Coturnix japonica: one gene and its partners. The protein of the gene in region 4 purifies or fractionates together with the protein of the main gene of each other region. This does not show direct contact. Links are inferred from orthologs where the notes say so. Each region holds a gene or a part of one and is shown on either strand. Other genes may lie near its edges. The genes, in order: IFT122, MLF2, VPS13B, DNAJC7, VPS13C and KIAA0100.

Region 1 (4,115 bases), on a different chromosome or scaffold from region 4:
TAATGATATGAATGTTCTTTATAATGTATGAAGAGGCATATTCCACACTGATACTTTAAACTGCCCTTAACAAAATAAATGTGCATACAAAATTCCATTTAAACAAGCAAATGTGAAAGGCCTATCAAAATGTCTGGGGGTGATTATAACTGAAGTACGGAACTGACCCTGCATTAATACTACCTGGTTAAATAATCTGACCTCCACGCTGAAGTTTGTTTAGGTTGAATGGATTTTACCCAGACCAAAAAAAAATAACAGCAACAAAACCAAAAACGTTACTGGAACACCATCAGTGCACTGACACCCGTTAAGCACACACTGCCTAGTAAGAAGAATGCAGCACCAGCTCCATGTCAGTGACCAAGGGCTGTCTCTTTCATTAGCATGTAACAGTAACTGCTGTTCTGAACGCTACCAATCACAACCCTAACAACACACGTTAGGAAAGACATTTTGGAAGTATATGTAAGTGAGGAAGTTACTAATAGGAAAGCAAACATCCCATCCAGAGCCGTAACGGAAGAAAAACTGCCTTCCCTTTGTCAGTCAGTGACCCTTTCTGTTGTCTTTTATGGACAGATGCATTTCTGCAGCGTTCGCACAGGCCTTGTATGAGGTAACCTGATCTAGCTGTGGATTTCCTCATTCACTGCAGGGGGGGTTGAACTAGATGGCCTTCAGAAATCCTTTCCAACTCTAAGGATTCTATGATTCTACTTCCAAAAGATGCAACATGCACTCACAAAGTTGTGCAAATGGTAGGTTGAGAGACACTGCACAGCTATAACAGCCTCAGATGGAGCAAAAGTGGCTGTTTTTTCCCCCTGCTCCCATCTGAGCTCAAGGTTGTCAAGATTCAGATCCAGCATCCTGTTGGGATGACTAATACTCCTTGACAAAGTCACACATCATGCTGGGTGGGTGGCTGAGAATTACATGTTGATTTGTTCAGCTCTCCAAGACGATAAGGAAAAAAAAAAAGAAGACAGTGCAGTTAAAAACAATGGTTTGAAGGTGCTGATTATTTCCCTAGGGGCATAAATCGAATTCAATTAGCTACAACCCACAGCTGAAACTGAACATAACCCAAAGTAGATCTCTGCACTGTGGCTCAACATCAATTACTCTTTTAGTGTACCTCAGCCTCTAGATTCTGTGCAGTGTTGGAAGGATACACTTTTGAGATCCCCAAGGGAGTCTCCTTTGTTAAGCTGTGAAGCAGAAACCTGGAAATATTGAAGAGTGTTTCAGGCAAGTGGAAACTGAAAGGTTCCTCCTGTGGAATTAAAAATAGAGACATTTCTAAGACAATTCACATCACTACACATCACAATACCAGGCATCCCAAGTATTGTCATGCAGTTCATGCAGTTGCTAAAAGAGCAGATGCTGACAGAACACACCAAGCGGATTTCACATGTTAAACACCAAAGTTCATGCCTGTTACACACAGAAAAAGACAGAAAGGGATCCACACAGCTAAAATAGAATCCTTACCAGGCTATATAAAAGCAAGGCATGAACAGTGGGCAGCCTCCACCACTGAAAGGTCTGACATAGCCTGACTAGCAGAGACCTTGGTTGCACAGAGTCGTCTTTTGGGCAAGGGCATAGATTAGAGGCTTCTCATATGTTCCACAGAAGATATTTTCACCAACAGTTGTAGGAACATTACTATAATTGCTGGGAGCAGCAGGAGCTCTCCTCTCAAGACTGCACATCTTTTGGAGAAGTTTACATATATCACCACTGATAAGAGGTAACATGCTGTGGGAATCTCTGAATGAGGGTGTCTTCTGTATAAACCTGCTTTCCCCAATTAAAGGAAGAACCCACTGCAACCTGTAAAGGACCTGAGATCCGGGGTGCTGGAACCAATCAACACAGCCAGCAAAGAAAGTACTGGGGGTGGAGAGTCAGCCATGCTCATATTCTCTATGTACACAGTGAGACAAACACACATCTGCTAAAATGGCACGGCACTTTTTAAGAACTACGACAAGAGAAGTTCTTCTGCAGTACAACAGAAAGCAGAGAAATGTTGCTATACAGTATCACTAATCTACACTCTATTTAATTGTGTGAAGTCATTAAATGTTTCTTTATCTCTGGACTTCTGAAAGAAAAACATTCAGGAATACACACACAACTTCTAAAGTAAATATCTTACAGTGTATCTTTGAATATAGTGATAGACATGGTAGATTTCTGCCAATTGCTGGAAGTGATGAAACTTCTGCAACATTTCAGTCTGCTGTTCTTCATTCTCTGCGGAGAGAAAGGCATTAGTGTAAGCCCCCCCAGGTAAACCTTTGAGACTCAGTGTGAAGAAAACAACATACAGTGATACTCCCAAATGAAGTACACACCAGCCCAAGTGTCCCCCATCTACCTGTGCAAAACACAGGTTATACAGTCTTGCTACTTCTGGGAGCAAGTTTCTACTTCAAAAAAAAGCATGCTCAAATATGAGTGGTAATGGCTTTAATATAGCTAGAGGCTACAGGTTAGGTAAAGGGAGAAAAGAGCAGCTGTGCATCTCTGTAAAGCTCATTCATACCTTCAGAATTTACAAATAAAATGAGTTTTGAAACATTTCATGGATATTAAACACACTACTAAAAAAACTGGAACAGTTTGCATCTCCACACAATACCTCAGAGGCAACATATCAGCACTCTCAGGTGAACTAATAAAAAGGCACTTAAAGCACTGAGCAAAACACAGTACTATCAACCCTGGTATTCATTGGCAAATTAGTTCTCCTAAGCACTAGCTCTACCTCTCTTCCAGAGAAATACACTCAGAAGACAAGATGATAGCTCACAGTTTTGTATTTGTTGGCAGAAACAATTTGTAAAGTACCTCCCCTACCTACATTCAAGTACTAAGCAGATCTTATGCTCCAGAACCACCTTGCAGATACCAGTACGTGGACCCCTCAGTCACTGCTCTACCTGCAGCGTGTTGAGGGAAGCTACACAAGGACACAGGCTCCCAAGGATGCACTATTTTGATTCCAGCCAGATTTCAAAACAAGGCCTACGCACACTGCTGTTGTTGTTTTGCTCATCTGTTTTACATAAGAGCATGGGAAAACCAGTAGACAAAAATAGCGTATGCCAAAACTATGCACAGTATAAAAGAAAAAAAATAGTGAAGGAGCTGCAGCAATGCTATCACAGTTTAGCAATTGTCTGCCTACATGCACAAGAAGGTAAAAATATAAGCCTTTCAGTTACTTACCTTGGGCTATATCTAAACACTGCATGGAAAGCATCCAATAATAATAGGCTGCGTCGTTAAATCGGCTTTCAACCACAGCATTGTGTGTTAGCTGCTCCAGCACTCTCACAGCTTCTCTCTGCCTGCCAGCCTTGTGGAATGCTACAAAGACAAAACAAAGAGGATTTTACAGGGCAATTATATCAATTAGCTGAAATTAATGTTTTTAAATTAAGAGCAGTCTATTCAGACAATATCAAATCATCTATCCAGGGCAGTATGAAGGGATTATACACTGGTATTTTCTACTTGAAAGCAGCAACACTAATGGAACATGAGATGCAGCTGTAGGTGTTTTGTGGCTTTTGCACTGTCTTGGGGGCTCTTGAGCTGCTATGTCTTGTACACCTCCGGTGTTTTTGTTGTTCTTTAATATAGGAAAGAGCAAAAGCACAACAATCATTAGATCTGTTTTCAAGCAATTGCAATCTCTAAACACTGCAGATTGCACCTGCATTTAAAACTACAGTAAGTTCAAATTAGTTCTAGTCAGTAATGTTGAATGTTTTAGAAGATTATATTATTTATTATATCCTTGTAGCACTCATTAACAGCTTCTCTTTCAGTGAACTTCAGAAGCCAGTGTAAAGTTAGATTCTGACTTCTCACTTGGCATAAACACAATAAAGGAATGAAATAAAGTGCAATAAAGATAACAATTGCCTCCTGATTTAAATCAACTCCATTAAAACCACATTCTCCCAGACCCACACAGAGATCTCCTGCTCACCCAGTTTTGTGGAATTTGTATTAGCCAAGACAGAACAGCACGGAGCTTTGAGGAATAAGCTAGGAACAACACACATATATTCACAGATCTGTATGTG
Region 2 (4,829 bases), on a different chromosome or scaffold from region 4:
AGCCACCTGCCTAAGAGAAAAGAGCACAGGAAGAGTCAATTTGGATGGATATGGGAGAAAAGAATTACAACAGCCTGTCTGCAAACTTTTCTTACTCTCCCTATAGGGAAAGCAGACGTTAAAAACGTGACTGTTTTTAATCTGGCAGAGCTAAAGGCTGCAGTTAGTGTACTCAGCCAGCAGGTCTGACAGATTAATTGTGCAATATGTAAACAAAATTACTGTGTCAGTTTAAAGGCACTGATTCCTTTTTCCCTTCTTCAAGTGGCTTCTTGTTCTCGTTTAGAGCAGACCAGAACTCACACGCAATGTTATTACCCTTTGAAGTCCAACTGTTTGTATTATTAATCCTTTTCTGAACTAGAATGATTCCAGGATGCTTCATTGAGTCAATCCCGCAGAGCAAGGCACCTAAAGCTGCTGGATCTGGAATAACTTATTTCCCCTGTATTACTACAATAGATAACTGAGATCAACAAGCTCCAGGAACAACATTTTCCCACACATCCAGCAATTCTCACTCCAATTCTGTTCTCTTGAATTACTCTTTTAGCTTTTCATTCTGCAACCATTTTCAAAGGAAGTTCAATTACCGCCTCTGCCTAATGACGGCCGAGTCTTTTCCATGTGTCATCACAGTTTCACAACAATCTCCAAACAGATCCACAGCTTCTTCTTAGACACATGAGGTTAAGAGACCCTCCGTTCTTCCTAGATATCACCTATCTCAATTCCTATGAAATACCATGCTGTAACAGCTTTATGGATCTCCTCTGTTCAAGGTGCCCGTATAAATGGACTCCTCTAAAACAGCTCCACAGACTACACTGAAGTATGAGGAGAAGTGGAAGGTCTAAAACCATACAACTCAGGAATAGCAGTGCAGGAGGAACCAGTTATCTTCAAACTTGACACTGAAAAACAGAGGACTTACCATGCCCAGCATCCCAAAGGGTGAAACAGCTCCCGCCTGTTGAGACAACAGAAAAACAGAATAAACGATGATCTTGCAACAGCCAAACACCAGATACTCCTCAGAGCCCCTCTCTTACCTGCATCCTACGGCCAGCCTGGCGAGCCCCAGGCGTGGTCCCATCAGTGATACCAAGCAACGGGCCAAAGCCAAAGCTTCCAGAAAGCATGCGGTTCATGTGCTGCCGGTGGATAGCAAAAGGGTCCCTTTGGGAAAGATTGAGAGAACAGTGGTGAGAAAAGGATGACAGAACACTGAGTCCTGTATAATACACACATTCTGACTCGGAGTTTCTCTTATGCAACTGTGACTGTATTTTCTAAGCTGAAAATCCAGAAGCTCAAGAACACACACAGTGTTGCGTATGCTAATCCTTAGGGCTGGATCCCATTTCTTCTCTTGTGACTGAAAGTATTATGCCACAGAACCTCTCTTACACACTAACTAATGTCTATTCAGCACCAGCTCCATGCTCTGTTCCCACTAATACTTTTGAGCCAAGCTCCAAAACCTCACTGCTCTACAAGGTAAAAGATCTGCAGTCCAAGCGCTACCATCATCTCATACTCATTTCCTCTTGAGCCATCAAAACTCTTTGCATTAGCAGCCTCTGCTTTAAGGACATACTTGTACACGCTGGAGAAGCAAGGAGGGAAAAAGTAGAACAGGGACAGTCCCAAATAACAGCAGCCACGCTAAAGAGCCTGAGAAGCATCACAGCATTTCTCTGCACATCTGGTAGTTCTGCATTCATCCCTCCAGAGCACAAACAACCTGAGCAGCACGTAATTTCCTGAGATCACAAAAGCACCGAGCACAACCCAATACTTTCCTGTTTCTGCTGGGAATACTTTGCATAATAAAAGCGAGACTCATAGCTGCCACATCAGTGAGAACTGTACACTCACTCTGTGACTGAGACTTCCAGGTCTCCTCTCCTACTCATTGGTTTATGGTTGATAACATTCTTATAATCAACTTTATAAGCAAGAGCAGGGCTTTGTTTTCCTACATATATTAATTGTAACTAATGTATAGCAGTGCCACACTTCATACAAACTCCTACCATATAACACTCTTGTCCTTAACTGCTTTGGCAACAACCGCCACCTCTCATCAGTTGCAACCCATTTCTGAGCAGGGGATAGAAATAAAAGCAACCAGTAAGAGGAACCCCAAAGCAAAGCATCATTGGGACCCACATCAGGTTTTCAGGCTTGTGTTTTAAAACGCCTAGAATTCTCCTCATTTAGTCCCTCACAACGTGACAGCTCCCTCAGCAGCCTCCTCCAGCTCCACTAATGAATTCTTCGGCGGGGTAGAAACGAACAGGCACAGATGATGTTATCAAACCTTACTCGTTATACGCAGCAATCCTTAAGCACAGCTAAAGGTCACAGAATCACACAGAATCACAGAATGACCCAGGTTGGAAGGGACCTCAAGGATCATGTAGTTCCAACCCCCCTGCCTGGCAGGGCCACCAAACATACACAGGGCCACCAAACATACAAAAGGTCGGGCGCTCCAGCGCTGCTTTCCTCACACACTCACAGTGTATTTGGCCTACTTTATTCAATGTGTCCTCAAAGCCACAGTGGTTCGGCTGGCACGAAACAGGCCGCTCCCATCCCCCCATGACCCCCCTCCCCTCCGTGCAGGCCGTGCCGCAGCGCCCCGGCCCCTCGAGCCGACTCACATAGCGAACATGGGATCCTCGGGCTCGCCGTCCCTCATCAACCGGAACATGCTGCTGCCCTGGCCGGGGGCGGGCTCTAAGGAGGGAGGGATGGAGGGATGGAGGTTGAAGCGCTGAGCAGGCCGCACGTCGCAAAGGCGGCCGCCCCCAGACCCGCACCTCACCTCCCCACCACCACCACTACCACCCCCCCCGGCCCCAGGCTCGCCCCCACCTTGTGCCCCTTCTCCGTGCGGTGCCGAGGGGCAGACGGCAGGAAGAAGACGAAGAGCAGAAGGATGCACACACGGGCCGCTCACTCCCGTGCTCCCATGGCGGCTCGCAGCCCGCTCACCCCTTCCGCTCCAGCCGGCTCGCCCCGCGCATGCGCGCACAGCGCCGTGTGTCGGTGCGCTCTCGCCGGGCAGGAAGCGGCGCTCGGGCCCGTGTCGGGGCACAGCGCCCCCTGGCGGTCAGTGCGGCCCGAGCGCCGCTATGCTGCTCTATGGCAGCGGGCCGCCAGCTCACAGCGCACCCGTGGGCACCGACACTCACCCGGAGCCGCTGCCAACACCACCAAGGCATCACTGCCCCCCTCCGTGAGCCTCAGTCACACGTCTGACTGTTCCAGCATGGAAAAGCGTTTCCTGCTCGGCGTGTTCAACCCTGGGCGGGCACGTGGTGCATTGGGTGTGTGCAGACGGGCAGGGAGAGAGCAAGAATGGAAGCGTTATTTATGGGACTGGGAGCAAGGCTGCGATAAAATGACCTGCTTTCCACGGATCCCAGCAGCCATCCCACCCCCAGACATGGCAGGGCTCCTAAAGCTGCTTCCATACACAGCATCAGGCATTACTGCCTCCCCAACACAGAGCAGGAGTGCACACTGTAACCTATATGTAACCTATGTAACCTATGTAACCTATGTTACCAGCAATGTTACCAGTTAAGCAAATCTGGCTCACTGGTGGCTGAAGCCCCAGCAACACAGACAAGCTCCCCCTTGTTAGAAACGCAGAATCTGTCATAAATCAAAGCCATTACCCACACTGCCTCCCTTCCTTTTTTAAAGCAGTCCAGGCAGAGGAGAATGGGGGAAGAGGAGAGGCTGAGCCAAGGGCAAAATGGAAGCGAGGAGTGATGCCACTGCCCTGAGCTCCACCTTCTGCTGCTGACTCGCTGCCATTCAGCATCCCTCCCCCTAACGTCCCCAGCGCTGTTAGCTGCGCACTCAGCCAAAGGGGCAACCACAGCGTTTTCAAAGCAAACTGAATATCACGTGGCGTGGGTAAATAAACGCTATGTTTAAAACAGAAGGATACAGGTATGCGGCCAAAGTTCACAATCTACTGATCGGAGTAGAAGCTGCAACGAGGATACAGTGTGAATAGGAAGAAGCAAGACTGAGCCCTGGAACAGGCTGCCCAGGGAGGTTGTGGATGCCCCGTCCTTGGAGGTGTTCAAGACCAGGTTGGACGGGGCCCTGGGCAGCCTGATCTAGTAAAGGTGTATGTTTGGTGGCCCTGCCAGGCAGGGGGGTTGGAACTACATGATCCTTGAAGTCCCTTCCAACCCGGGTCATTCTGTGATACTGTGAGCCCTGAGAACTGGAGCACCCACAGGGGGAAGGAAGAGGTCACAGACCGAACCCAATGGCCCCTTTCACAGGTGGTTGGAAACATACTTTCCTCTCATAAACAGCCGCTTGTGTATTTGCATCTGAGGGCGTTGCCTGTGTCAACACGACTCTTTGGGCAACAGTATCATCACCAAATATAGTCTTTGCTTTTTCTCCTCAAGGACCTCGCGTTGAGGCCTGCTGGTGTATTAGCACGGATAGGTCTATGGTACAGCATGTGATGGAGCAGCTTTGCGTGCGCAGCAGTTGAGGAAAGATAAAGCCAGAAATGCTGGATTGGTGCACAGCACAGCACAGCAGTGAGTCACACATCTCTACCAAGGAGCAGCACACCATGACAACATCCACCAACTTCTTTTTTCCTCCTGTTTTTGAGCTCAGCTCCAGAAATTCCCTCTCTCTGCTCTCAGCACAGCGTTACCCACACTGCCCGGCAGGTGGCGCTGTTGCACGGCTCCCGATACCCGCCATCACCGCGCCGTGCGGATGGCGGCATCGCCGTCGTCGCGCCGCGCCCGTATCCCCACGTGCCCTCCCCT
Region 3 (4,115 bases), on a different chromosome or scaffold from region 4:
TCTCTGCATGTTCCAGTGTCCTGAATTAGTGGAAACGTTATGTCTGAAGTATATCACTGTGTCTATTTAGAAGGGATGTAGCATTCAGAGACCATCACAGTGCTTTTAAAATCAAAGCCAGAATTATGTCAGCCATGGTCAATACTGCTGATTTGAGATTCTTCGTGTCTGATTTTTATGAAATTGCACATACATTTGGCCAATAAAAACAATATTTACCATTTACTACCTTCAGTAGTGCTCAGGAAAATGTAACAGAATGAAAATGCTAAAATAGAGATTGTTTCTGTACACGTTTTCTATCTGTAATTCAATCCTGACCTTTCTTAATTTCAATTGTTTATACACGGGCTGAATATTTTTGTGTGTTTTAGATCCTAATCTGTGGAAGACAGACAGTCTGTAGTTACCTTTCGGAAAGTATCGAACTGAAGGTGGTTCAGCATTACATTAGTCAGGATGGACAGGCAGTGGTTAAAGAGCACATCAACTGCCTCGCAGCCAAGCAAAAGCTGCCTTCATTTGTCCTAGAAGACAACGAGCTCACCGAACTGAGTGTGAAGGCCGTGGGAGATGAAGACTGGTCCCAAGATGTATGTCTGAGTTCTAACCATACAGAACACAGCACTGTCATTCAGGTAAGTCTGGAATTAAATGCTTGAGATATAAGTTTGAAAATGTCTGTGAGAACTGAGAACTTTAAATGTAAAGTTCTGTTTGATATGATGAAATGTTCATTATCATCAGCTTAGAATAATTTTAATAGAATGTTGTCGATCTATCTGCATACAGGTGCCATCCTCAAAGAGTTTGATTACATACGTGTGGTGCACCATTCTGACCTTAGAGCCCAGCTCTCATGTGCAGCAGCGAATAGTAAGTAATGCTTCTATAGCCTAAGTGTTGACAATTTATCTGTCATTAATTAAGGGCAGAATGACCCACTGAAAAGACTTATTAATAGCTTGTTTCAACAGATGTCATTCTGAAATAAAATGAGAATAAAAGTGTTGTGGTTTTTTTTTCATTTGTAGATTGTTTTCAGCCCTCTTTTCATTGTAAGGAGCCATCTTCCAGACCCAATTATCATACATTTAGAGAAAAGGAGTCTAGGATTGAATGAAACACAAGTGGTTCCAGGGAAAGGACAGGAGAAAGCACTGCAAAATATAGAACCTGATCTTATACATCACCTGACATTTCAAGCCAGGTAAAATATTCACTTTCCTTGAAAATGATTCATTTGTATTGAAAAGAAGAAATGATTTACACTTTAACTTCTAGTGCAGTGTTTCAAAGAGTACAGAGTATGCGAAGGAGATACAAGAGAACAAGTGTGTGTTACCTGGAGTGATAGGATAGGAAATAATACATTTAGTATCACTGAACTGAATGTGATGTCATTTGTTTGCTTAAACTGTCCACATTTTTGTGTATTAGTAAACAAAAGAAAACAAAAACCATCTTGAATTCTCTTGGACTATTGATTGAGAATACTCTTCAGTTCCTGGGGTCTCAGACACAAATGTTATTAAAGTGTCGTAACAAATTCATGCATATCTGTATATGCTCGGTAACTTGGTGGACATCATTGTTTAATTCATCCACAATTACTTTGAGAGTGTTTCTCTTGCAGAACCCACTTGTTAAGATTCATTATAGAAAATGTTAGTGCTATTAATACTTGAGCTTGTTCCGTGAATGACCAGATCTGTATTCAATGACAGGGAGGAAGATGATCCGTCAGAGTGCGCAGTCCCTATCTCAACTACGCTTATTAAACATATAGCAACTAAATCCCACCCAGGTGGCAACGTCAACCAGATCCTGTCCGAGTTTTATGGCACTGCTAATCCTCGTCAGCCTGCATGGCCATATAACAAGAAGGATTCAGACAGGTAGTTTTTTGCTAAATGTACTTCGTGGTCATTACGTTGACTTTTCATATAGAGGTCTTTTACAAGATAAAATTGTTAATTGGAATAAAGCATCTAGGAAGCTAACTAAAATTTTTACATCCATATCATTAAATACAAAGGTATCGCTTACTACTAAATAACTACCTAATTCACAGGTTGTTGGAGGCCAGGAAAATGTACTGGCAGTACATTGGTATCTGCCAGATGTCTTTTCAGGGTTTTGTAGACGTCTGTTACTAACCAGTATAAGAGTCAGAATACTAGCCTGGGGATCTTTGATCTTATCTAAGTAGGCTATTATCTTCATCTCTTTTTACTATATAACTTTGTTAATGATATTTAAATCAATTGACCTAACAGTGGAACTCAGTAAGTGTTTTGAGTCTTGACCAAGAATAGACTCCATAGAGCTCAACTACTTAATCAAAATAAGGATCACCAAGACCCTCAGTGAACTTTGTACGCACATTAATAGATCGAGCTGTGTCCTGTCAAAGTTAAGTCAGCTGTGAAAATATCATAGCTTGTCCTGGATTCCTCGTTAATTTAAAATAATCTCAGTGATCTAAAATGTGATGTGTATGATCTGGTCTAGCCATGTATTGCACAGTTAGTGAAAGCTTGTACATTTTGCTTTTTACTCTCTAGTGTAAGTTTCTTAAAAGTTCAAGCTTACTGTATCTTATCCTTCATTAGATTATTCTGAATGCATTTTTAGGCAACAGAATTTTCTGAACTAGCTATAGAATGTATCAGTTTTGAAAAGTTATTATTGTGCTTCCAGCACCCCATCCAAAAGATGCCCCCTGAAATGCTATTTAAATGTAACATTTTCTTTGTTATCAAGAGCTTTGCATGGTGCTTGTTTGCTTAGTCAGCCCTATGAAATCAACTTTAAGAGTCTGTTTTCAGTAATTACAGAATTCCTATTTGTAAGCTGCAGAAGTGGTTGCAGGCAGGAAAAACTTTCAGTAAGCACAGGGGCTGCCCTTGATTACATTGAAAAGCTGTAGAGGTTATTTATTTGGCATCTGTGTTTCAGCTCAGAAATGGCAGAAAAAGAGTTGAGGGGAAAATAAATAAAGATTTTGATTTTATGTCTGCAGAAGTCACAGGTTTAGCCTTAGAGAATAGCAGTAATTCTGTTTCTAGGGCATTCAATTAATTGACAAAACTTAAGTTGAGGTTATGCCGCTACAAATATGTCTTTATCGCCTGCAAGAGGCTCACTCTAGCAGCATAACAGTATGTTCCAGAATGATTAGGTAAGAGGAGACTCTTCCTCTATTTCAAAAAGGTAAGGTTTTGAAAATGAAATGAAAATAAGCACATATCTTAAAGTCATTCTTTGTTCCTTTGGCTTCATTGTTTTGTTTGTTTGTTTCCAAACAGCAGTGAACAGCTCTCCCAATGGGACAGCCCAATGCGGGTAAAGCTGTCAGTGTGGAAACCATGTGTTAAAACTCTGCTGATAGAACTCCTGCCATGGGCCTTGCTTATCAATCAGTCCAAGTGGGACCTCTGGCTGTTTGAAGGAGAGAAGATAGTGCTTCAGGTGCCTACCGGGAAAGTAATGATTCCCCCCAACTTCGAGGTAACTGCCATTTGAGTCAGGAGACATAGTTCTCCATGTACCAGCCTAAGTAAATTACTCCAAAGCAAAAGTAAAGACTTTGGGCACTGCTCTGCAGGCCTAACTGCATCCTGTATTATTAGCTCGGGGGGGATGTTGACCATGGTAGCACAGCTGGCAGCCTTTAGGGAACATTTCATCAATGGGTGGTGTTTCATAGCTCATGTAGTACCAAGAGAGGTTTGATAACAAGGCAGAGTGAATGACAAATGAGAACAATTATTCAGAACATCTTCCTTCCTGAATATAGGGCTTTATGTAGTGGATCTTCTCACATCTTAGCTCTGTCATTCAAGTGTTTTGGTTTTTTTTACTACAGTCCTAATATTGTTTATTTTTGAAAGAATTAAGATAATTCGACAGACCAATTTGTCAGTTCCAGAAGGACAATTTGATACTTCCTGCATATTTTGCCATCCTTCTTTCCCCATAAATGTCTGTTCAGAAACAAAAGGCCTGGTGATTAACACATCTCAGTGTAGCCTAGAGTCTTGATTTCACTGGGTGGGTCAGTCTCATATCCGCCATGTGGTTTCATCTATCCTTGTGCCACTTAGAGAGAA
Region 4 (4,659 bases):
AACAGCCAGATGAGCCCTGAACGTTAATTAGACGGTTATGTAATGCACCTTGCTAGCAGAGCTCACTGTCAACCCACTTCATACCAACAGCAGCACTGCTGATGGCAGGGCTGAGCCTCAGTGCGTGTGAGAGCCCACAGAAGGCCCAGGACCACCCGGAGCACTGGCTGCCATGGAGGCCTGGATGCAGGAAACAGCCCAGCTGCATGGTAAGACAACGACACTCACGTGATTCACCCTAAAAAAGATGGTCTGGAGTTCAAGGCAGGCTTCAACACCAAGTTCCAATCGTCTTTTTCATGCTGTATACAGAAATTATCTCATTCAGAGCATTCAAATGCTCCACAAATGTATGGGAGATTAAACATCAACGTGAGGAGCTCCTGCCATTCCTCATATTACCCTAAGCTGATAATTACACGTTCACAAAACAGGCTGGATCCACAGCCTGGGAAACTCCAGCGCCCAGCGAGAAGCAGAGCAAGAATCCTGGATCAGCCCGTACCCACCAGCAAAGCCCCCCCAGCCAACCGAGGGCAGGGCCTGGCAGCACAACCTGCAGGGGCAGCCCAGGACATTTATCATCATTGGAGCAGCCTGATTGAGGTGCAGCTGATTTCATGTACAGCAGCAGCAGAAGGAGCCTTCCTGATGACCCACAGCTGACAGCCTGCGGGCAACATCTGTCGGACTCATTGTGACCCGAATTAAGGCCAGGGCTGGAACCTCCTCTTTGATTTCTGCACAATTTACTTTGTGTGGCAAATTTCACACTCATCGTTTTATTGAAGTTAACGACCATTTCCTGCAGAGGCACCAACACACCTGAATTCTGCAGCAAAAGCACCATGAAAACAACGCTCTGTCCAGATCAGTTCACAATATTTTCCACGTGATTTGAGATACCTCCCAGATGAAGCTGCTGCATCCTCCAGCAATTGAAGGAAGGGGAGAAGGATCCGGCCCTGAGCAGAGCACAGCGACAGAACCCAAACAGCAAAGGAATGGACCCAGCAGCACCACGCTCCTGGGTCAGCTGGGCCAAGGGATGGACCCCAGGGGTCAGAAACCTTCACCATTTGTGGGGGGGAAGAAAAGGAAGCAACTTTTGGGGATGAACCTCTCTCTGCCTGCAGTGCAGCCCCCACCCAGCAGGAGCTGCAGCTCCATCACCCAGCAGATAAAATTAATGCACTTACATCAACCCTCCTCCGTCAGGACCCTCACAATTTAAGCTGCCACAGCCCATAATTATCCTATGACCGCACTTTATTCCTGTCCCTGCAGCCGCCGGTGAGTGAGCAGCTCGGCATGTTTACAGCTGTTCAGGAATCCTCAGCCCCACCGTTACCACTTGTATTTTTATTAAGCCACATAGAACAGAACTGCACATTTAGTCCCTTTGCTCCAGGACTAACCCTCACCCACCTGTGCCTCGTCATGCTGCAATTCCTGAAGAGAGGCACAGAGCACAGGGAGCTCGGGGCTGACTTACAGCGCTTCAGTGAAGCTTTTTCATTCATTTTTGCTGCTTTCTAACAGAATCTGGCCCGGCTGCGTTCAATCAGATTCCAGAGAACGCCCGTGCAATTAATGCTGAGTGCCTGCAGAGCCCCTGCGTGGTTGGTGATGTTTTACAAACATTAAGCACCTAATTAAGCCTCCAGCCATCCTCCCTCGTTTGGTGACTATCAGCCTCATTTACATCAGCTCAGTTGACAGATAGAACTTGAGCAACCAACGTAAGCCCTGAGGACGCAGAGCTGCCGTCCCCAGGACCCTGCCTTGTTCCTCCGGTGCACACAGAGCATCACATCCAGCTCACACACTTTGAATCCCAGCAACAGAACAGTGTGAAATCACCCATAAAACCACAGGGCTACACGGCAATGCCCACAGGCTGCAGTGCCAGCACGTGGTGACCCAGGCAGGCTCTGCCCCTCAGAGCAGGACGGGGAGCCAACCCCCAGCACAGGGCAGCTCCCTGCACCCAGCAGGACCCAGGAGGAGGAAGGAAGGGGAACCAATGTCAGAGGACACCACGGGACGATGCGCCTCCGGCACAGCTCTTCCATTCGGGTATTTTTAACATTTCCGTCGTCATCTTTAACCAGCCCGAGGGGATGAATCACAGCAGCAGGATTCCCCAGCTCCACACACACACACAGCACACACAGCACACACACAGCACACACGATGCCTCCTGCATTTCCTCCTGCTCCTCATGACATCACCAGGAAGCTCTGGGTCCCGGAGCCATCCATCCATTGCTGTCGGTCCATTGCAGCTCCCCAGGCCACGGCTTTGCTCTGAACATCGCACTGCTCACAGGACGCTTCTAGTTTCGTTTCTGCTGCTGATTCCACCAACCAACGAGCTGCGGGAGCAGCCTCAAATCCTCCAGCCCCAGCTCTGTGCTCGCAGCTCCTCGGGGGTAACAAACCCGGTGCTGCTCACACCGCCGTCCGGGTGTCGGCCCTTCCCCATCGCATCCCCTGTGCTGACAGCACCCGGCCCATAGGGAAGCGCACACTGCGGGGTGCTGCCCTGCGCGGGGTGAAGCCGAGCTCAGCAATAGCGCTGTTACCAGGAGCCGTGAGTTACCGGGGGCTCCTCACGCACAGTTACAGCCTCACACCGGCTTCTCCCCCATCCAGCCCCGCTCCCAGCACAGCGCCGCGTTACGGGCCGCCTCGTGTCAGCGCTGCAGGTAACGCGGCGCCGGGCGGGGAGGAAACACGGAGCGACCCGGACCCGGAGCTTCTCGTCCAACGGAGCGACCCCGGAGCTCGATCCGTGCCGTGACCCCGAGCCCGCCCCGAGAGCAGAGCAGGGCAAAGCAAAGCAGCAGGGCAGAGCAGGCAGACGGCGCGGCCCGGTGAGGCCCCACGAGCCCAGCCCCGCCCCCCCCGTTACCTCCGGTCCTCGTCCTTTGCGTCTCGCCGTGTGTTCGCGTCGGGCGCCGCCATGTCACATCGCACTCCGCTGCGCCGAGCATATTACGCCGGGCGGGGGGCGGGGCGCCGGAAGGGCGGTTCCGGGGAGCCCGGCTGCCGGGAGCGGGGCGGGACCGCGGGGAGCTGCGATACCGCGTGCGGCCGCTGGGGGGCGCTGCGGGACACGGCGATACCGGGCGGAGCCGGTCCGTGATCCACGATCCGTGATCCCCGATCCGTGATCCCCGATCTCCCCCCGATCCCCCCGACCGTCCCCGTCCCGTGACGGATCCCCACGCGGTGCCGCCCCGGTGCCGTTCCCTGCGCGGATCCCGCGGTTCGGTCCCGGAGCGGCGATGGGGAAGAGCTGCAAAGTGGTGGTGTGCGGACAGGCCGCCGTGGGCAAAACCGCCATCCTGGAGCAGCTGCTCTACGGCAACCACGTGGTCGGTGCGTGCCGGGGGGACCCCACAGCCCCCCGGGACCCCCATATCCCCCCATAGACCCTTATATCCCCCCCACGACCCCCATATCCCCCCATACCCCCATATCCCCCCATAGACCCCCATATCCCCCCCAGGACCCCCATATCCCCCCGTGACCCCCATGTCCCCCCGTGACCCCCCCGCCCGCCCCGCAGGCTCCGAGATGATCGAGACCCAGGAGGACATTTACGTGGGCTCCATCGAGACCGATCGCGGCGTTCGCGAGCAGGTGCGTTTCTACGACACGCGTGGGCTGCGGGACGGCCTGGAGCTGCCCAAGCATTGCTTCTCCTGCACCGACGGCTACGTGCTGGTGTACAGCACCGACAGCAAGGAGTCCTTCAAGCGGGTGGAGCTCCTCAAGAAGGAGATCGACAAGTGCAAAGACAAGAAGGAGGTGAGCGCTGCGGGGCGGGGGGAGCTGCTGGGCCTTGGGACCCACCCGCGGAGCCTCCCTACAGACATGGGGTGCTGCTCCGAGGGGCTCTGAGCTGTAATGGGCTGCTGCTGTGGGCGGCTGTTTGCCCTGTGATTCCGTGGCTCCTTTGGCTGCTCCTCGGGGGCTGTTGGTCTTATTGGCATTAACTGAGAGCTCAGTTGCACAGTGGGGCTTTTCCTGCAGGGTCCTGCAGTGCTACACGTGCAGCTGCTCAATGGGCCCTTCTGTTTTGGGGCTGGTTTGAATCAAACCCAAACAGGAGGGTGAAACTGCCCAAAGGATGCACTAGGAAAGGAAAGGGGGGATTCTGTGTGGGGCAGGACCTGGCGCTGAACCAACAGGGGTTTCTTCTCCCCTGTATTTTAACAGGTCACTATTGTGGTGTTGGGCAATAAATGTGACCTGCAGGAGCAGCGCCGGGTGGACCACGACGCAGCCCAGCACTGGGCCAAGGGCGAGAAGGTGAAGCTGTGGGAGGTGTCTGTTGCTGACCGCCGTACCTTGATCGAGCCCTTCATCTACCTGGCCAGTAAGATGACGCAGCCACAAAGCAAGTCTGCTTTTCCCCTGAGCCGCAAGAACAAGGGCAGCGGGTCTGTGGATGGCTGAGCCTCATTGTGCTCTTCCAGTGCCACCTCCTGGCCCTCACCTCTCTCCTTCCCTTGCACGTCCCTCCTGCTGAGCCTGTTTGGTGCTATGGAGCCTGCAGGATGCCCGGTGGCACGAGGAGTGGGCTCCTGGGGCTGGTCTTAGAGGAGGAGAGAGGTGACCCATCTCCCTGTACCGACACAAGAGCTGT
Region 5 (4,837 bases), on a different chromosome or scaffold from region 4:
TGGCATGTCTGCCAAACTTCCAGCAATCTTACTCAAGTTCTTCATATTCCTAATCTACCCCTTGAAGAGACATACATCCTATTTCTAGTTGCAGCTCCCTTGATCATCCATTTACCCGTGAAACAACTCGATACATTTTCCACACAGCCTATAATGTGTCACAAACAGGGTTACCCGGGGAACTTTTTATCACTTATGTGGCACAGTCACATTCAACATCTACACCAGCTTCAACAGCAAGTATTATTACAGAGACCACCTAAGAAATCTTGATAAAAGAAATTCAAAGGCAAGACAAAGGCTTGTACTCCAAAATTCCATTTTAAGATTTAGGTTGAAACAAAACAAAACAACCTTACCTATATGGCCAACTTTGACTCTGAAAGGAACTTCCAGTTCACTCTGTAAAAGAAAAATAAATATTAAACAGATTCGTGTATTGTGGAGGTAACTTGGTTCGGACAGCAGAATTATTATCCTGACTTCTCTTAAAACTGTAAACACAAAATTGAAGTTCCAGAACAGATGCAGTTCTCTGTATGACATAAGTGTAAATAATCAGCAACGCTCATGTGAATGTGGGAATCCATAAATACAGTCAGGCTTCCAGGAAGCCAAAAGGAGTTACACATTTCTAGCAGCTCTTTAATACACCTATGATAATGCTTTGCAACAAAAGTTACCCAAGAACTAAGGTTTCATCCACATACAAGAATATAAATTAAAACCTCATGAAGGATCTCATCTACACAGCGTATTGCAAAAAAAAAGGAATTTAACCACTGGTTAAAAGAGAGACGAGATAAACAGGAAGAAGAATAAAAGCAAGAAGGAAAAAATAAAAGTAAAAATTAAGATGTAATAATTTATCTATTCTTACAGTAAAATTCCAATTTCTAGTTGGTACCACCTTAGAGTTATCAACGATGGGCAAAAGAAGCAGGTAAGACATGAAATTTCAGAGCAACAAAGAAAAAATGGTGATGTCAAGCAAAAATTTAGCACGTTTTCCATCATCTTCCTGAGTGCAATGTGAAGCACACTGAAGTTTGTTGTATTCCTAATTCCTATTCCTTAGCTCAGGACACAATAACCAACTAAGAACTTTTCAGACAAGAATCTGGTTACTTATTGGAAACTCTTTCTTGTTTTTTCACTCACTGTTACTCCTACATTAACAGGAACATTTAAATAACCATATTACATGGTTAATCAGAATGTACAAGCTACATTCAGACTGCATACATCTCAAACATGTCACCCTCCACAGTTTTAACTGAAAATCAATTTACATAGCCATAAACATAAGCCTTTACTTCATCAACAGATGGAACTTTTTCTCCCTTCTTACCCACATCAAAACACAGCATCACAGTCTCTCACAGGACTTCAGCTATAACAATCTGCAAGATTCGGGCTTTGAAAATCCATTCATTCAACACATGCAGTAAAAAAATACACAGACCTGTGCATACCAGTTGTTTCTAGTAAGCTGTTCTGAAACATACAACCATCTATTGCTTGGACATACAAGTGATAAGCCCTATGGAAGACTAAACTATGACCTTATGGAAGTATGATTATGCAGCAGAAGAAGAAATTCAGTTATTTAGCTTGTACTGGAAGACTAAAGCAGTAAGAGAAATGTACAAACATTTACTATTTCGAGCTTCAAATCATTAGGACAGGTGGTAAGGCCTGTGCTCCAGAGCCTTCACAGCTTTGTTGCCCTTCTCCGGACACACTCCAGGACCTCCATGTCTTTCTTGTAGTGATGGACCCAAAAACTGAACACAATGCTTGAGACACAACCTCACCACTGCCAAGTACAGAGGGACAATTACCTCCCAGTCCTGCTGGCTGCATTATTTCTGATACAAGCCAGAATGCCATTGGCCTTGTCCACCTGGGCACATCACTGGCTCATGTTCAGCTGTCAACCAGTACCCCCAAATCCTTTTCCCCCACACAGCTTTCCAGTCACTCCACCCTGAGCCTGCAGCCACACATGGCATTGGTGTAACTGAAACATAGGACCCTGCATTTGGTCTTGTTGAACTTCATCCCATTGGCTTTAACCCATCAATCCAGCCTGTCCAGATCCCTCTGTAGGGCCTTCCAACCCTCAGGCAGACTGATACGCAGAAAACATCAGAAACATATTTGAAAACACTAGTGGTAATTTCTCAGATGTACTTTTCTTGCGCACATATTTATGATCTAACCTGTGGACTTTTTTTTCCCCTTTGTTCCAATTTTTATTATTATGTATTATATTATTAGCAATGTTAGAAGCCATTAACGAAGTACGACTTTCAGTAACAAGCAAAGAAGGCACACACTGTGAAGTGAGACTACATACAGTAAGCAGCCCAGGGCTTTGCCCTCAGACCCACTGATACAGCTTGAGCATTAGTGGAATACTTACTAGTGCATTCTCCTTTATTTTTAAGTTGTCAAGCGCGACATTACCTATGTGGAAGAAAAAAGTTCATTGATGTCACACCTATGCAAAACACGCTGGAACAAGGAAAACAACCACAGCTTTGCAAATATAAGGTATAACACTGGGGAGCACAGGCACACCGAGTCATACATGAGGAAAACTGCACATGTACCACCCGAGTGCTTCAATAGCAGAGCTCCTCGGGCTATGTTGTTTGTAACATAGGTATGAATCATTCACCGCGTGGCAGCAGCGCGATCAAACTAAGGAGAAAAGCTTCATCCCCTGTGGCACTGACAGCCCCCACACGAGCAGCGCAGCCGCCCCAGCCCCCTCATGGACACCGCCCGCCGCCGGGAGGCGCCACCAGCGCGGGAAGCCGCGGCCCCATCGCCCACCGCCGCCCCTCACGGGGGAGAACGCGGCCCCGCTCCGACCGACCGCCCCCGGGGGGTGGTCCGCGGTCTCAAGGCGACCGACCGCCCCTCCGGGAGCAACGCGGCCCTCACAGCGACCGCCCTTCGCGGGGCAGTGAGGCGGAGGTACGCTCCGCGGCTACAGGCCGCCCGCCCGCTCCTCAAGGGGCCGCCGGCAGCTCGGCTAATACGGGGCCAGCCAGACCCGCTCCCCGCGAGGAAGCGCCCTCCCCCGGTGGCGGCGGCGGCCCCGCTGCGCCACAGAGCCGGGGCGGAACGGGCTCCTTACCCCCCCATATACCCAGCTTGAGCTGGGATTTGTTCAGGTTCTCCACGTAGTCGCCGAGGAAGCGGTTCAGGACGTCCGCCACCAGCGACTCGAGCACCATGGCGGAGGCGGGCCCACCTCACGCCTCCCGCGGCCCACCGTACTCCGCCCGCGGCGCACCGGGAGCAGCGCGGAGGGGAGGGAACAAGGGAGGGGGGGCCGGGAGCGGCGCGAGGCAGCGGCTGGAGCGTTCCCGCGGTCAGGTGACGGGGCGGAGCAGCTCAGCGCCACACGGAGCTGAGGGGACGGGGTGGGTGTCGGCATGGCTGCGGAGCAGGTGTTGGGGGGCTGCGGGTGGGGAGAGGAGCAGCCCCGAGCCGCGGCCCCGAGGCGGGGAAGCAGCGCTCTGAAGGGCGAGGGTGCCTGCTGAGAGTTCTTATGATGCACAGAAAAACATTGGTGTTCATCCGGCCGCCCAAGTGACGTGAAAACTGGCAGAAAAGGAGAACGAGAGAGGGGAAATGAGTACTGGCAATACTCAGGCCTGAAAAATGCATGAAAATAAGACAACAACGGGGACGGTCGGTGAGGGAGGCAGGCAAACGCTTCAAAATGCGGATAAAAAACATTGTGGAGCCGAGTGCGAGGGTGTGTTAAGAGAACACCGCTGAAGGAGCGAATTTTTGTGAGCCGATAAAGGTCTATTAGCAGCTGTTACCCCTCGGTGCTGATAGAGCCGCGTCCGAGGCCTGCAGGCTCCCTCTGCTGTAGCGGAGCTGAATGGGAAGGGCTGTGTGCGGTTATCTCCCTTGTGCGGGAGGCACGAACATGAGGTCACCCCTGTATGTATAGATCTGTTAAATCAACCTGTTCAATAACGCACACAGCCAGCCCAGAGCAGGCGACAAGACAAGAAGATTCCTTATTTGGTGCGTGCCACGTCTGTACGTTGCTAGGAATATGTGTGCCTCACTTTAACACAAGCATTTTTCGATGTTTAAAGCGTGAGGCAGAACATTACATCACTAAGAGCAAAGTTCGGATCTGCGGTGGTTGTTAAACACAATGATCCATGTGATTGGGTGGGGGAAGTTGTACGGCACAATGCTGAGGATTCATGGAAATTGTGGAAAGGTTCATCAGTGGGAAGTGTCACCCTTGTGTACCTTTCTGTAGGCACCTACTGGTGAGCACCAAGAGCACATTGGATGCTTTTTCCCTTGCACGTACTGTGGCAGTTCTTGGACGAGAACTGTCAGATGCTTAATTAATAGTCATTGTATTGATCAAAATCATCTGTGCATGCTGCATTCTGGGCCTTTTGCAAGGCTGGTTTATGCCTGTATGTGGTTAAGTTGGTTTTATGTTGAGTCATTAGTGCCATTTTTGTTCTTTCAAAGAATTCCCCCCATGTTAACCCAGAGGTGATTCCAAGGACCTTCAAACTAAACGCATGATGTGTGACATGATTACTATAACAGATGAGATTTTTCATTAGAGGATGGCATTCAAGTACCACATTCTTCTTTTAAGCTCTGTTTTGCTTCAGACAGGAAGAAAAATTTCTAATTATATAACTTCTAGAAACTGCAGAAGGTGCCAATGATTTATTTCTTTACTCCTTCCATGCAGCGCTGTCTGCTCAAAGGTATTTGTATCCTTGGGAAACATCAGTGCAAGAAAACAAGGCAGGAAATTGTGTGCTGA
Region 6 (4,584 bases), on a different chromosome or scaffold from region 4:
GAATGCACCTGCAGCCCAGCCCAGCACACCCATTACACCAGCAGAGGATCCCATCATGCTGTCGTGCCAGAGAACCAGATTCCCTGCCTAACTTCTTCCCCAAGAGCCCACAGCCCCAGGCTACTCACATTCTTCCCCCTGGGATTTTCTCTCTGCAGTCAGGCAGAGCAAGGGACAAGCAGGAAGTGGCACAGCTATTCCCAGGACCATGTCCCCTGCAGTGACTATGGCTAGTACAACCACCTCTTCCATCTGGCCTCCTTACCTCTTCTGGCTGTTCATAGACAGCACCACGCTGGTGCTCTCCAGCTTCACCTCTACCCTCCTGGGGATGAGCTGCAGTGTGTCCCTGCTCAGCAGGGATGGGGATTTCAGGGACTCTCCTGAATCTAGAGCAGGAAACACAGAGTCACAGGAAGGCTCTTGCCCAGACTCCCACTCCTTGCATTTGGCAGCAATGATAGCAAAACCAAATCCCTCTGGCTGCAGTGGAACTGCCAGCCTTGTTCACATCCCTGACCTGGGCTGGGCTGAGAGGCTCTGGCTGTCACACGGTGCAACAACGGGCTGCAGAAAAGCCCCTCGTGCAGCTCTGCCTGCAGGGTCCGGACACTCAGCTTGACGCCCACCAGCCGCCGCTTGCTGCTGATCTCCAGTGAGATGCAGAGTGCCAGGGCCAGCTCTGCCAGACACGTGTCATCCTATATAGGGATATGGGCAAGGAGCACACCAGGAATCACCCAGTTCCCTGCTGACGGAGGCTGCAGGTAATGCACTGGGCAGAGCATGCAGCTGAGAGCCTTGCAGGGCATTCAGCATCACCCAGCCTCAACAAAACACTGGAACAGGTCCTGGGGTGTCCCAGAGAGCTGCTGCCCAGCCCCAGCGCACTGAATTTCTCCCTTCCCCAGTACTCACCAGCTGGCTGCTCCGGAGCACTTTGCTGTTGACCTTTGTCAGGTTCACCTCACAGTTCAGGCTGGGGAGAGCAGAGAGCAGACTGAAGCTGCAGGCCCTGCAAAACCAAGCCCCTTCCCCCCCTTTTTGGTGGGATACAGGGCATGAATACAGCATTACCTCTTCCCATCACCATTGAAGAGAAGACGGGTCTTGCTGGCTTGAACGTGCCAGAGAGACTCTGAGGTGGCCACATGTAGAACCATGATGTTGATGGAGTCCATGTGGATGGAAAAGAGCTGGTGGAAGGTGGTATGGTGAGGGCTACGCAAGAGCAGCACAGCCTGCAACACCCTCTCATGGAGCCAGAGCTCACCTGGCTAAGAAGCCGCAGCAGGGATGGTTTAAGGGCCATGTCTGCTCTGTTCTTGCCATCATCAGCTTCTTTGGGAGCCTCAGGGAAGGATGGCTGGAGCCCATGGCTCTTCTGCAGATCTGTGCGGACTCGGACCTCACCAAAACACAGCTCAAAGTAGCGTCTGCAGGAGAACAAGCACACGCAACCTTTACAAGAGCCCACACATCCAGCCCCAGGGGTGCCTCCATGAGACACCAAAAGGGGAATGATTCACTCCCGCAGAGCATGGGAAATGAGCACCATAGAAAGGTGCAGAGGCAGTCGGCAGGACCAGGGGCGAGCCAGACCCCCCAGGAAAGCAGAGAAGCAGTTGGGACGTGGATACATACGGGAGCTCCCGGCTCAGTTTACTGGAGATCCAGATGTTGTCAATTTCCTGCAAGAACATAAAAGCTGGTGAGTGAAAAAATAACAGTGCTCTCCCCGATGCTTTCATTCCACTCCTGTTGCCCTGCGTCATGTGGGGAGCACTCAAAAACCCCTGTATTTGGCCAAGGGAGAAAGGGCTGCAGCCCTGGGGCTGTGTGACAGCAGCTTGGCTGCAGAGACTCGCTGCCAGCCTGAAAAGGACGGCGTCCATCCCACCCTCACCCAGTTGTGACTCCTCCACAGGTACCCACCACTGTCTGCTGCTCCTGCTGGAACTTGAGGCTGATGTTCTGTGCCCAGAAGAAGCCAAAGGAGCCGATCTTCAGCTCCGCCTGCAGCTTCTGCCGGCACCAGGTGATGGCCAGGTGACACGCCAGCCACCTGTGGGCACATGCAAAGGGACAGGGTCATCCTCTGCTGTCCTGAGCCACACACCTTCTCCCTTCCAACCACCTGCACTGCCCTAGAGACTCTCACATCTGTGGGTCCCTCAGCCTCCACACCAAGCCCTGTGCTCCAACCCCACCTTTCTCTCCACATCCAGCCCCATAAGATCCCCCCAGACCTGGATGGGATCACCGCAAAACCACAAAACCCCCATATCTGGCTGTATCCCCCTCACACAACACCTTCCACCTTTGATATTTCCCTCCAAGCTCCACAGTATCCCTGAACTATGGGAGCAGCCCAAAGCCCTAACACCCCCCATAGCCTCAAAGCTCCATTTTGACTTCCCCATCACCCCACACGCATCTTTGCAAGATCCCTTGATCCCTATAAGCCCTGACAGCCCCCACCCCAACTCCCTGCAATCTCCTTCAGCCTGACACTACCCCAGCCAGCTCTGTGGGCCTTCAGAGACCCCTATGGGCCCCCATACACCCCTGCCACCCCACATTCATCCCCACCCACACCCTATACAGAGCACTCCATGCAACATACCCGCACCTATATCCCCTCTACACCCCCTCACTGCCACTTACACCCCACTCTACACCCTACACCACCCAGGCCTACTACCCCCCCATCTTTACGCCCCCCAACCCCTCCTCACACTCGCCCCCCCACACTCCCACCACCTCCTTCCTCGCCCCTCCCCCGGTCCCAGCGGCCCGCCCCCAGGCCCTGACCGCGCCAACAGCCCGGCGAGCAGCAAGACGAGCCCGAGGCCGAGCAGAACGGCGGGCAGCGGTAGGGGCAGACCCGGAGGCAGCAGCATGGCGGCCCCCAGGGCCCGGCCGCCGCCGTCCGCTCAGCGGGGGCAGAGCCGCCTGCCGGGCCTGGAGTGACGGTTGGAAGCGGAGGGGCGGGATCAACACGGAGTTATGGCGATAGCGCCCCCTAAAGGCTCGGGGTGGAACTGCACCGCTCTGCGGGGTAATGGGAACGAGCAGCCCTAACCCGTATCCATAACCCGTATAGAGGGGAGGGGGATCGGATACACGAGGAGACCCCCCCCATCCGGCCCAGGGGAGATGGAGATGAATAATAAATAAATGTAGGTTATAGATGGAGAGTGTGGGTGCCGCTCTGGGGAGCAGGGAGCTGCTGTGTGTCCAGGCTGATCTTTGGGATGTGATTTATTTGGGGTTCTGGGATCTGGGTCCAAATGGGACTTTGGGATGTGATTTGGGATGCTGGGAACTGCTTTGCATTGGATTTGGGATGCTGGGATCTCCTTTGCATTGGATTTGGGATGCTGGGATCTCCTTTGCATTGCATTTAGGATGCTGGGATCTCCTTTGAATTGGATTTGGGATGCTGGGATCTGCTTTGTGTTGGATTTAGGATGCTGGGATCTGCTTTGAGTTGCATTTGGGGTGCTTGGATCTGAGGCTCTGTGATCTGACTCCTGTTGGATTTGTGGCACTGAACTCTGCTTCTAGTCTGAACTAGGCTTTGGGGTTGACCTTGTGCTGGATCTGGGAGGGTGAAATCTGTTTAGTGTCAAATTTAGGACATTGGAATCAGCTTTGGTGTTGGAATTAAAATTCTGGGATCAGCTTTATGTTGGATTTGGGATGTTGGGATCAGCTTTATGTTGGATGTGAGATGTTGGGATCATATTTGTGTTGGATGTGGGATGTTGGGATCAGCTTCATGTTGGATGTGGGATGTTGGGATCAGCTTTGTGTTGGATTTGGGATGTTGAGATCTGCTTTGCCTTAGACCCCAAACACTAAGTTCTATGTCATGTCAAATTCAGCACACCAGGACCAGCTTTGTGTTGAATTCAGGATGTTGGGCTCCATTTCCCAGTGCACATCACAACCGCGTGTAGACGGGGGCCATCCCCACACTGAGCAGCCCCGAACGCATCAGTCCATCTGTCACAACTCAACGTGGTGCTGCTCCGCTTTGAAGACCTCTCCGGGCTGCATGAAGATTCCTTCCATCACCTTCCAGTAGTTATTCTGGCTGGAGGTGGCCATGCCGTGCACCTCCCTTTGCCCATTGATAGGCCGCCCGTACTGCTCTCCTGTCACCGAGAGGAAGACGTCGGTGGAGGCGTGTTGGAAGCGCACCTCGCTGTCCCGTGCCCAGTATGTCCCACTGCACAGCACTGTCCAGTCATCCAGGTAGTCACCTTCACCATTCTCTCCAAAGGCGCTCACCTCCTGGAGGGGAAAAAAAAAGCTCAGTTTTAGGGCTTGGGTCTTTGTATGAGCAGAGGGACAGAGAAGGGACAGTTCTATGGGCTCAGATTTACAGGCTGCAAGTTTTGAGTGCTGATTCCTCAGTAACCTCATTAATGCAGAGCACCCAAAGGTGCTACAGGGCTTCCAGAGGATGCTGACCTTGTGTGGGGGATGATATGACATGGGGGAGGCAGAGTATGTGGTCGACCCTAGGGGCCAAGATGGGGCAGGATGGGAATGAGGACTGGGAGAAACGGGCTA

The links.
Region 1: the proteins of DNAJC7 (region 4) and IFT122 purify together in Homo sapiens (co-immunoprecipitation; 3 studies listed by BioGRID and IntAct, counting the BioPlex papers as one, with this or other methods). This does not show direct contact. The link is inferred for Coturnix japonica from reciprocal best matches to the Homo sapiens genes DNAJC7 and IFT122.
Region 2: the proteins of DNAJC7 (region 4) and MLF2 purify together in Homo sapiens (affinity purification with mass spectrometry; 3 studies listed by BioGRID and IntAct, with this or other methods). This does not show direct contact. The link is inferred for Coturnix japonica from reciprocal best matches to the Homo sapiens genes DNAJC7 and MLF2.
Region 3: the proteins of DNAJC7 (region 4) and VPS13B purify together in Homo sapiens (co-immunoprecipitation; 3 studies listed by BioGRID and IntAct, counting the BioPlex papers as one, with this or other methods). This does not show direct contact. The link is inferred for Coturnix japonica from reciprocal best matches to the Homo sapiens genes DNAJC7 and VPS13B.
Region 5: the proteins of DNAJC7 (region 4) and VPS13C purify together in Homo sapiens (co-immunoprecipitation; 4 studies listed by BioGRID and IntAct, counting the BioPlex papers as one, with this or other methods). This does not show direct contact. The link is inferred for Coturnix japonica from reciprocal best matches to the Homo sapiens genes DNAJC7 and VPS13C.
Region 6: the proteins of DNAJC7 (region 4) and KIAA0100 purify together in Homo sapiens (co-immunoprecipitation; 3 studies listed by BioGRID and IntAct, counting the BioPlex papers as one, with this or other methods). This does not show direct contact. The link is inferred for Coturnix japonica from reciprocal best matches to the Homo sapiens genes DNAJC7 and BLTP2.

The regions. Positions count from the first base shown.
Region 1 is NC_029527.1:16,827,557-16,831,671, reverse strand, and holds part of IFT122 (intraflagellar transport protein 122 homolog), read right to left. Parts: intron 3,391-4,115; coding exon 3,250-3,390; intron 2,272-3,249; coding exon 2,174-2,271; intron 1,280-2,173; coding exon 1,179-1,279; intron 1-1,178. UniProt on the Homo sapiens protein: As a component of the IFT complex A (IFT-A), a complex required for retrograde ciliary transport and entry into cilia of G protein-coupled receptors (GPCRs), it is required in ciliogenesis and ciliary protein trafficking.
Region 2 is NC_029516.1:69,478,536-69,483,364, forward strand, and holds the start of MLF2 (myeloid leukemia factor 2), read right to left. Parts: upstream 3,042-4,829; 5' UTR 2,887-3,041; intron 2,749-2,886; 5' UTR 2,723-2,748; coding exon 2,673-2,722; intron 1,180-2,672; coding exon 1,053-1,179; intron 971-1,052; coding exon 935-970; intron 11-934; coding exon 1-10.
Region 3 is NC_029517.1:116,153,996-116,158,110, forward strand, and holds part of VPS13B (vacuolar protein sorting-associated protein 13B), read left to right. Parts: intron 1-374; coding exon 375-638; intron 639-792; coding exon 793-876; intron 877-1,034; coding exon 1,035-1,210; intron 1,211-1,727; coding exon 1,728-1,898; intron 1,899-3,311; coding exon 3,312-3,513; intron 3,514-4,115. UniProt on the Homo sapiens protein: Mediates the transfer of lipids between membranes at organelle contact sites. Binds phosphatidylinositol 3-phosphate. Functions as a tethering factor in the slow endocytic recycling pathway, to assist traffic between early and recycling endosomes.
Region 4 is NC_029542.1:4,375,682-4,380,340, forward strand, and holds the start of DNAJC7 (dnaJ homolog subfamily C member 7), read right to left. Parts: upstream 2,970-4,659; coding exon 2,917-2,969; intron 1-2,916. Other genes in the region: NKIRAS2 (NF-kappa-B inhibitor-interacting Ras-like protein 2), read left to right, coding at 3,293-3,386, 3,577-3,818, 4,230-4,469. UniProt on the Homo sapiens protein: Acts as a co-chaperone regulating the molecular chaperones HSP70 and HSP90 in folding of steroid receptors, such as the glucocorticoid receptor and the progesterone receptor.
Region 5 is NC_029525.1:3,603,783-3,608,619, reverse strand, and holds the start of VPS13C (vacuolar protein sorting-associated protein 13C), read right to left. Parts: upstream 3,282-4,837; 5' UTR 3,252-3,281; coding exon 3,152-3,251; intron 2,989-3,151; exon of another isoform or gene 2,897-2,988; intron 2,473-2,896; coding exon 2,429-2,472; intron 403-2,428; coding exon 360-402; intron 1-359. UniProt on the Homo sapiens protein: Mediates the transfer of lipids between membranes at organelle contact sites. Necessary for proper mitochondrial function and maintenance of mitochondrial transmembrane potential.
Region 6 is NC_029534.1:4,551,665-4,556,248, forward strand, and holds the start of KIAA0100 (protein KIAA0100 homolog), read right to left. Parts: upstream 2,994-4,584; 5' UTR 2,904-2,993; coding exon 2,815-2,903; intron 2,066-2,814; coding exon 1,936-2,065; intron 1,692-1,935; coding exon 1,645-1,691; intron 1,437-1,644; coding exon 1,274-1,436; intron 1,197-1,273; coding exon 1,078-1,196; intron 980-1,077; coding exon 919-979; intron 702-918; coding exon 521-701; intron 390-520; coding exon 266-389; intron 1-265. UniProt on the Homo sapiens protein: Tube-forming lipid transport protein which binds to phosphatidylinositols and affects phosphatidylinositol-4,5-bisphosphate (PtdIns-4,5-P2) distribution.